2 linked regions of the Caenorhabditis elegans genome follow. The protein of the gene in region 1 purifies or fractionates together with the protein of each later gene. This does not show direct contact. Each region holds a gene or a part of one and is shown on either strand. Other genes may lie near its edges. The genes, in order: lpd-3 and Y23H5B.8.

What was found.
Region 2: the proteins of lpd-3 (region 1) and Y23H5B.8 fractionate together in Caenorhabditis elegans (co-fractionation; one large-scale study listed by BioGRID). This does not show direct contact.

The regions. Positions count from the first base shown.
Region 1 is NC_003279.8:3,597,541-3,602,529, reverse strand, and holds the start of lpd-3 (Bridge-like lipid transfer protein family member 1 C-terminal domain-containing protein), read left to right. Parts: upstream 1-1,800; 5' UTR 1,801-1,852; coding exon 1,853-2,022; intron 2,023-2,573; coding exon 2,574-2,765; intron 2,766-3,555; coding exon 3,556-3,720; intron 3,721-3,767; coding exon 3,768-3,910; intron 3,911-4,989. Other genes in the region: Y47G6A.3 (uncharacterized protein), read right to left, coding at 1-32, 158-245, 292-382, 458-515, 1,126-1,201.
Region 2 is NC_003279.8:2,545,692-2,550,226, forward strand, and holds Y23H5B.8 (T20D4.11-like domain-containing protein), read right to left. Parts: upstream 2,709-4,535; 5' UTR 2,637-2,708; coding exon 2,430-2,636; intron 1,642-2,429; coding exon 1,513-1,641; intron 1,464-1,512; coding exon 1,275-1,463; 3' UTR 695-1,274; downstream 1-694. Other genes in the region: Y23H5B.3 (T20D4.11-like domain-containing protein), read left to right, coding at 1-69, 116-172, 250-462.

The sequences.
Region 1 (4,989 bases):
AGTTCCCCGTGGAATTGTACGCGAGAGGGACACTGAAAATTTGGAGAAATGTTAATTTTTCTCTAACTTGTATCGCTTCTTCTCGAGGTCACGGCCTCGCCCCAAAAATAGACGGAACTTCGCTGCGAGACCCAAACAAATTTTTGCGAATACTAACTTTTAAGCTTCGGGTGCAAATCCCTTCCGGCCATCTCGTCCACCGCGATTTTCAGTTTTTCAGCAATTTGACGAAGTCTCAAATCATACTGAAAATCATGAATTTTTGTATGGGTTCTAGCTCTGAACACTTACCCTTCCAAAGATTAGGTAAAAATTGAAGAGGGCAAAGATAAGATTGAACAATGAAATTGTCATGTTGAAAATGCCTCCAATTGCCAAAATGCTAAAAAGATTTTAATTATTTAATTAATTAATTAAATTTAGTTTCTAGCAACAAAATCTAAGAAGAAAATCTCACTTAAATCGATATGCCATTGAATATTCCGTCACATTAATCGAGAAGGCTTGCATTTTTGCTAAAAGAGAGCTTGATTAATGTTTTGGAATGTTGGCACCGGAATTTGAAATTCTACGATTTTTGCCCTAAAATTACGGTACGCGGTCTCGAAACGAAAAGTTGAAAGAGTACTGTAATTCCTCTGCAGCATTTTCATCAAATTTTACACGATTTTTTCGATTAAAAATCAATAAAAATACCACAGCAACAAAGTACCGGAAATTACTGTATTACGTACATAGTCACGCGGTACCAGGCTGTCCCGTTACGGTTTGATCTACAAAAAATGCGGGATTTTTTATGCCCAAAATTATGTGGCTTCAGCACGTTCTTGACCATACGAAATCAGTTGAGAACTCTGCGTCTCTTCTCCCGCATTTTCTGTAGATCTACGTAGATCAAGACACTCTGACACCACGTGCGTAGTCGAAAATCAGCCACACTGGACGCACAAGGTCCTACGACGAATATATAACTACGCTGCGAGACCTTGCTTGGCGAAATTTCTCATTTTTTGACGACTATGTAATAAGCTTTTACATGGAAAGCAAAGTAAACTGAATACCGTATTAAGAAGGCGATCGCAAATCTCCTTAATTCAAGAATTTTGCAATTAAATTCAAATTTACCATTTCCGGGAACAATGAAGCCAAGTTGAATGATGACTAGGATTTGTGCACACTTGATTATGTTGCGATCGATCATACTTCACTCACTTCTTGAAGAATTCAATAACAAGAACTGAATAATTTCATTGAAATTTGGGGAAAAACCGAAAGTGGAACACGTTTTTCCAGAAAAATTGTTGAGTTTAGAAGGTCACGGAGAACTGAATCGATAAATTTTTTAAATTTAACGTTTTATTTATTGAGTATTTTTGTTTATCTCCATTAAAATTCACTTTTTGCTCTTAAAATAATCTTTAAAAAATGCACAAAACCTGTGTGAAAGTTGAAAATTGACTAATTTTCGCACTTTTTCAATTGTTTTAACAAAAATAATATCGATTTTCAGATAAAACAAATAATTGTCTATATTTTATCATTTAATTTCACTTCAAAACATTGGGAAAACAATCTAAACTGACTCTTTTTGTAAAATTACTGATTTGAATCCCCGCCAATTGGAAAAGTGCGATGGGGCGCGTTTTCCTCCCATTTTCAGCAGTGTTGATTTTTGTTTATTTTTCATTTTTTATGCTGATAATGTTGTTATTTTATTATTTTTTCGCGAATTTTAATGTTTTTCTGCTATTTTTCTCCGCATTTTCTCCCAAAAAAAAAAATGTGTTTTTCATTTTTCAGTTAATGTCAGTCGGCTACTACGGGTTCTAGGCGGCGGCGAAAACGAAAAAAAATGTCGGATTTCGATATTCAAATCAAAATCGACGATGCTCAGCTCGATTTAAAAGGAGTTTCATTCTGGGTCACGGCTTCTGTCGTCACACTTTTCCTGGCGTGGAGCACGTTTGTCGTATTGTTTTTCTCGCGAGTCAGCGCACTCTTTTTCACTTTTGTTATAGATAAGTGAGTAAAACTGAAGGTTTTTTGCTTGAAAATGGATTAATTTCGCAAGGAGACTTCTTAGAAATTGCTCAATAAATTTTTATGGCGATTTAAAATTTCGAAAGTTGAAAAAATTGGCTAATTTTAGCTAAAACTCTCCAATTTCGCAAGTTTTCCGTTTCCCAGCGGTCGGAAATTAATTTTTATTCGATTATTCTCCTCTTTGATCGCTTATTTCTCGTTATTCGTTGATTTAGGTACATTTTAAGCTTTAATTATACCTAAATCAACGAAATAACATGAGATAAGCATCCAAAGAGTATAATAATCGAATAAAAATTAATTTCCGGCCACTGAGAAACGGAAAAACTTGCGAAATTTTAGCTAAAAAGATTTTTGCTAAAATCAGGTTTTTTTCCAAAATTTTGAAATTTTGAACCGCCATAAAATATTAAGATATTTTTGATGCAATTTTTAAGAAGTTTTATTGCGAAATTAATTTATTTGGGCACTATAAAAGAAAAATCCAACAAAACTGGCGGTAAAAATCGAAAAAAAAAATCATTTTTCAGATATTTGCGATTATCAAAAAATGGAATCCATTTCAAAATCGGTGGTATTTCGATCTCAGGCTTGCACGCCGGCAAAATAATGTTTCGAAACGTAATTTATGATAATGGAGATATGACGATCAAAGTTAACGATGGACATTTATTATTCAAATATTGGAAATCTGTGGAACATCGACATTTGAATCTTTCAACGTTCGTTATTCCCCTAGATTTTGCGATTTTACAACGAAAAAGTCGATTTTTTCGAAAAAACTACGGTTCCTCGACACGACAAATTTTGGCTAAATGCCGAAAGGTGTGTGCCTATAAAGGGTACTGTAATTTCAATTTTATCGACTTTTTATAGTTTTTTAGTTATTACAATTATTATTAATTTGAAAAAACCAACAACAAAAAAATCGTGAAAAAAACTATTTACGAAGACATCTAAAGGTGAGAATTTTCGCCATATCTTACGCTAATGGGTCTCGCCACGCTGAAAACGAGTTACTGTAGCTTGGGTCGATTCATGGTCCGATAATGCATAATATTTTCAATTTAGTTTGATGAATATTATTCAATAGCGGCCCATAAAGCTACAGTAGCCAATTTTCAGCGTGGCGAGACCCATTCTCGTATGATATGGCGAAAAACTCATCTGTAGATGTCTCCGTAATAGTTTTTCTCACGATTTGTTGAAATTTATGTATTTTTATCGATTTCTTATGTTTTCTAAAAATAAATCATAAATTTTTATCGAAAAACTATGAAAAATCTATGAAAATTCCACGAAATTGAAGTTACAGTAATCTTTAAAGGCGCACACCTTTTCGCATTCAGCCAAAATTTGTCGTGTCGAGACCGGGCGCAAAAGTGGCAGAATTTATTTGTTAAAAATTTGCAAAAAATGCCAAAACTTTCTCAAATTTTGTTTTCAAAAATTTTATTTTTTTTTTGCAAAAAAATCCAATTTTTCGCTAAAAAAAATCCTATAAAATTCCAGAAAACGAGCTTCCCGATTACATCTTGTGCTCAACGGATTACACGTTAATATCTACAATAATCTGACAAAATACACGGAAATCGCGAGAATTCGGAGATTTGATTGGTTTTTCGAGAATACGAATATGAACGATGCACGGCGGCCTCAGACGAAGCCTCCTGACACGTAATATTATCGAATTTTCGTGCAGATATTTCTAAGCCAATGTTCAGTTGTAGATCACCTCCGTCGTCTGTATGGGAGAATATGTGGAATCTATTGGGTATTGTACATATTGAAGTGTCTGCTGGATGCATTCTTGTCGGAAATAAATTCCTACCCTATGCTCTATGGACACGATTTGAGAATTTGAATAGTGAGGTTTTAAAAAAATAATTTAAAAAAAAACTACGATACCCGGTCTCGAAACGAAAAATTCCTTGAAATGCGAAAAGGTGTGCGCCTTTAACGAGTACGGAAAACACCGAATTTCGTAATGAGAAGTTCTGAAAATTTCTCAAAAAAAAGTTATGGCGGCTCAAAAAATGGCCTAAAATTAGTTAAAATTTGAAATTTGACCTACTTGTCAAGCGGCTAGAAACTAACTTTTTTGAAATCACCGTCAAATTTTGAGTATACAATGTAATTATCCTGCGTTTTCAACTCAATTTAGGTATTTTAAAGTCGATGGACGGCGAGATTTTCAATTTTTTTAACCACATCTCGCGGTCCATCGTATTTAAAATACCTAAATCGAGTTGAAAAACCAAGATAATTGACGTGAATACTCAAAATTTGACGGTGATTTCAAAAAAAAAATTAGTTTCCAGCCGCTTGACAAGTCGGTCAAATTTCAAATTTTAACTAATTTTAGGCCATATTTTGAGCCGTCATAACCTTTTCTTGAGAAGTTTTCAAAAAGTTTCATTATGAAATTCGGTGTTTTCGGGCTATTTTAAGTCTAATAATGCAATTAAAAATTCGACCACACCAGCTGTAAATAGTCAAAATTCGAATTTTATTATACAGGCCCGAAATTTTGCTCCGAAACTACGATACGATACTGGGTCTCGAAACGAAAAATAATTCTTGTAAAATGCGAAAAGGTGTGCGCCTTTAACGAGTTCTGTAGTTTTAATTTCGCAGAATTTTTTAAAACGATTTTCATTTTTTTTTTACTGCAAACATTAAAAAAAAAACTCGAATGATGAATTAAAATTGAAAAAAAAAATTCTGAAAATTCAATTATGAAAAATGTGCAAAATTAGCCAAAAAGTCGTGAAATTTTTTTGATATCCTTAGTTTTCTCGCAAAAAGGTGTTTTAAGAGTTGAAAATAGATCCTAAACATAAAGAAAACCCACAAAAATTGCAAAATGACCCGAAAAAATGATTTTCAACAGGTTAAAAAATTTTAAAGCTACATTTTGACCTTTATAAACCGTCAAACGAATGA
Region 2 (4,535 bases), 1.1 Mb from region 1:
ACGGATCTGGACGAACTTTGTAATGGAATTGGCGCATTTGGATCATGGTTTGGATATTGTATTCCAAAGGTATTCCAAAAAGACTAAAAGAGACAAAAACTGAAAAAAAATTCAGATTCAAAATGCCATCACATTAATGGAGTGGCCGTGCTTAAGCCATTGGAATAATGCGGTAAGATTTCTTTTTTACATAAGTTTGAATTTTGCGTGCTGTGGAGCGCATTTGCATTACAAATATATGATTTTTAGGCACAACTTCCAACATGCGAGTATTTCGAGGCTGACAATGAATGCAAGACAATGCCAATAGAAAATATATGCGGCCCCCGTGCCGTCAAAGAAATGCTGGATAATGAGAATTTTATTCGTGAATATTTTGGATGCAACAGGATCTACAAGCCTTCAAATAATTCTAGTAATAGCTTGAAAATCAAAATTTCAGGTAATCCTAATTCGAAATGAAGATGTTTGAAGAATGAAGGCAATTTTGAAACTTTTATATAATGCAATTTTGTGCTATCAACTAACTAAATGTTGACCAGATGACAACTTTTTCCTACTTCTCAACATTTTAGAGATAATCTCTGCAAGCATCTCAACAAGTCGGCCGCAGAAAAAAATGACCAATTTTTCATATATCGTTAAAAACAAGCTATCAGCTCACAAACTATCTCAAAATGGATGTATCGCAAATTTTGAATGCACTTTTTATTTAAAACATAAAGATGCACTATTAGCTAGCCCCTACAGTGGGGCTGAGCTCCTTTTGGGGCTGTGGCTGGTCTCCAGCCCCACTTTTTGACGCCGTCTGCGCACTTTCCGATAAATAGAAAAGAAATTAATCGGCGCAGAATGTGCGCAGACGCCTACCTAGTGGCACACAGGGTTTCGTTCGTTTTTCGCATATTGAATTTGTGGAATAAATATATAAATATAATAAATAAATAAATAATAAATAAATAATAAATAACTATAATAAATAACAGAGACAGTTTTATGATAGTTTGTTAGAATTTTAAAAATAAAATAAATCGTTATGGCCAATGTTTTCTTAATGTCCTGGTCATTTATAATTTCAACCAAGATCCCGGAAATCCAAACAAAGGAAATCGATACATCGAAAAATACAGAGAGTCCGCCCATATCCTGAGTTGGGCTTCGTTTCCCGGTTAAAGTTAAAATAAGGTTAAAAAAAACAATGAACACAATATAGGTGCTTTTCATTTGATAAAAAGGGGATCAACCCCCGCGAATCGGAATGTCGTTTGGATACATTATGGCTGATTTTCACAAGTCATCACTTTGACCTTATCCTCATTCTTCAACATATCCTCCCATGCTTCATCTCCGCATTGCTCTTGAACAACCCGTTGAAGCTCTGAAAACTCGTCAGGTGTCAACCAGCACTTTGGTTTATCCTCTCCAATCGTCGTGTTTTTCAGAGTAGTTACGTCGAATTTTGTCTGAAATAAAATGTTCTAGAGGATCTTTTTCGGAGAAGCTTGTAGGTACCTTTTCCATGCATTTACTGAATGGTCCGACTTTTAAGCCCAAGTCTTCACAGGCGGATCTCATGAACATTGTTCCGAATCTCAAAATACTTTTTAGTAGCTCTGGGATTTCCATTGATTCTACGCAGTTCTGAAAACTTTTAATTTTTTAAATATCAAAAAAAAACTAAAAGTGATGTACCAAATTTTGGGCGTGGCCTCTGATGCTCATAATTTTTTTGGGAGCCGTTAAACGGGCGTGGCCTTTCGTTCCGCCCACTTCTTGGTTGTGATCACAGAAGCTCTATCCAGTAGGCTTCCACGCAGGCGCAGAGAAGCCTACCTCGCCCGCCTTGTGGCGACCAAACCATTTTTCCGGAAATTGGTAAATTGGCAGATTGCCGAAAATTTTGGGCAAATTGTGCTTTTGCACAATTTTTTAAAGGAAATTTCAGAATTTCAATTTCAATCGGCAGATTTGTACGTACCTTATAAATTTTCCTACATATATTTTGAAAAGTGAGCAGATTCTATGAAAATATTTAAAGAAAACGGGAAAATTTTCAAAAAAGCACAGTTTTAAGTGTTTCCGTCTTATGAAAAAATCCCTTTAAAAACTTCCGGCAAATCGGCAAACCGGCAATTTGCCAATGTGCTAAATATTCCTTCTCGCCATTGTGTAGAAAAATGTTGAGAGGCCAGAGGCTGAGGCGGGCAGGATGAAGGCAGGCCCTGAAACCGCGCCTGCCTCCCATGGAATTTTTTTTGGCATTATTTGAAACGAATTTAATGTTCACAAACTACATTTGAGAAAAATTGGAAATCGGTGGCCGCAGAATTTCTAGGCCACCTACTACTTTTGCAGAAATTTTTTGTTGAAAATTCAATATTTTTCGAAACTCTATTTTTCAAATTTTTGCTGAAAAAAATAAAACTAACCGTTGTGTCAATGCACATATGATAAAATGTTTCCAAATTACCAATTTTCACATTTTTGCCGTGTTTCGTAGTTTCCAGCTTCAAATTATTCAAAATATTCTTCATTTTGTTGAGCTTCGTGAGACAATTTTCATAGTTTGTTTGTTGCCCGGAGACAATGGAAAAAACGAAGAAAGTCGAGAGAAGGAACAAGAGAATTTTGGCCATTTCGGTGTATAAATATTGAATAATAACAATTGAATAGCAGAAGAAGAAGAAATGACCTATCGAAAGATATATCCCTCGTCTCCGTGAAGATATATCTTCCCGGGAGATAGTCTCTGAAGTCGGGAAAACAAATATTTTGAGGTCAACGGATTCATATTTATTAGGTATAGAAATATCGATTTTTCCAATGGAGAGATGGGGAAAATCGACTTAAATTTTTTTTGTAGTTTTTTATCTGCCATCTATATTTTTTAAAGGGATATGCCAAATTTGTTCAAATTTTTTTCAGAAAAATTCAAAATTTCTGAGCAAAAGTTAGTGGGGAATTAAAATTTGAAACAACGGAATTTGGTGGAAAATTTAAATCTTCTGTGGCAAATATTGGCGGGAATTTCAAATTGTTTGAGTTAATGGGAGGGAATTCAAATTTTCTGAAACAAAAATTTTGGCGAGTAAATTCAATTTTTTTGAACAAAAATTGACGAAAAATTTTAATTTTCTCAGAAATTTTTTTGCGGGAGCTTGAAATCTTTAAAGAAAAACATTTGCGGGTAATTCAAATTTTTGATTTAAAAAAACTTGACGAGAAATTCAAATTTTCTGGGAAACTTTTTTTTTGGCGGAAAAATTGAATTTTCTGAGGAGAAATTAGTGTTGAATTAGAAAAAAAATTTTTAAACAAATTTCTGAAACAGAAATTGGCGGAAAACTTGGTCACACCACATTTTCTTAGGCCATCTGTGACGTCACTCCTCTTCCAGCCGAGATCAACAAGAGACCACTGTAAAAATTATCTAAAATTTTACTTAAAATTTATTTTTCAAAAATATTAAAAAGAAAAAAATTAAAATTAAAAAAATGTCAATGACCGTGCTGACCTTTCTTATCAAATAATCAAATCTCAACTCACGGGACCACAAATCTTGTTCGGCGAAAAATCAATTATTTCGAAATTTCGACTCTTCACAATGAGCTTGGATATGGAGCACCTCCATGGTGCCATGAATTACCGTGAGTTTAGGAAAAGTTGCCGATGGTTGCTGAGCGATCGCCGAGGATGTTGTCGGAGCATTGCCGCTTCTGTTGCCGGCGTGTCTACAAAAATCAATAAGTGTCATAATGGTTGCTGACAATCTTCAATAACTCCGATTTTATTGATTGCCGGTAGTCGCCGGCGGTTGCCGATAGTGGCCGGCAGCAGCCATTACTTGTAACAAATGGATTTTTTTTTCGATTAACGATAGTCACCGCTGACCGCCGGCAATGAAACTCTAATTTTATTGATTACTGATAGTCGCCGGCAATTAACAATAGTTGCCGCTAAGCGCCGATAAATCCAATTTTGCCGGTTCGTAATAGTTAAAGGCAATGGCGACAGTTGCCGGTAATTATCGATTGCCAAAAGTGCCGGAAATATCAATTTATCTCAATTTCCTTGTTTTTCAGTGTGTTTCGCTGCTGCTGCGTCAATTTCTGGAGCGATCATTGCCGTCGGCTGTACCACCGGACATCGTGAGAATTCGCGTGGTGGCAAAGGAAAATCGGCGAGATCAAAGCGATCGAAACGATCAAAACGAGACAAGAAGCAAAACTCGAAGAGACAACAAAACTCGAAACGACAAAAGAAGATTAAGGTGAGTGGAAGAGTTATTTCTCGGCCACTGTAACAACCATCTTTTCAGAGCAATTCTGCCGCTCCGGCACCACCGGCCAAGAGTGGAGTGCCTGCAAAATCGGCGGAGAAGGCAAAGGAAGGATCGCAGAGATCGGCTCGACTCAAGAAGGAGCAGAAGTCCGAGAAGAAGAAGGTTTGTGTAGATTTACGGAGTACAGTGTATATTTACGAAGCTCTTTTGTTTCAGAAGGAGTGATCGCAGAGATCTGCAAGATCGAAGAAGG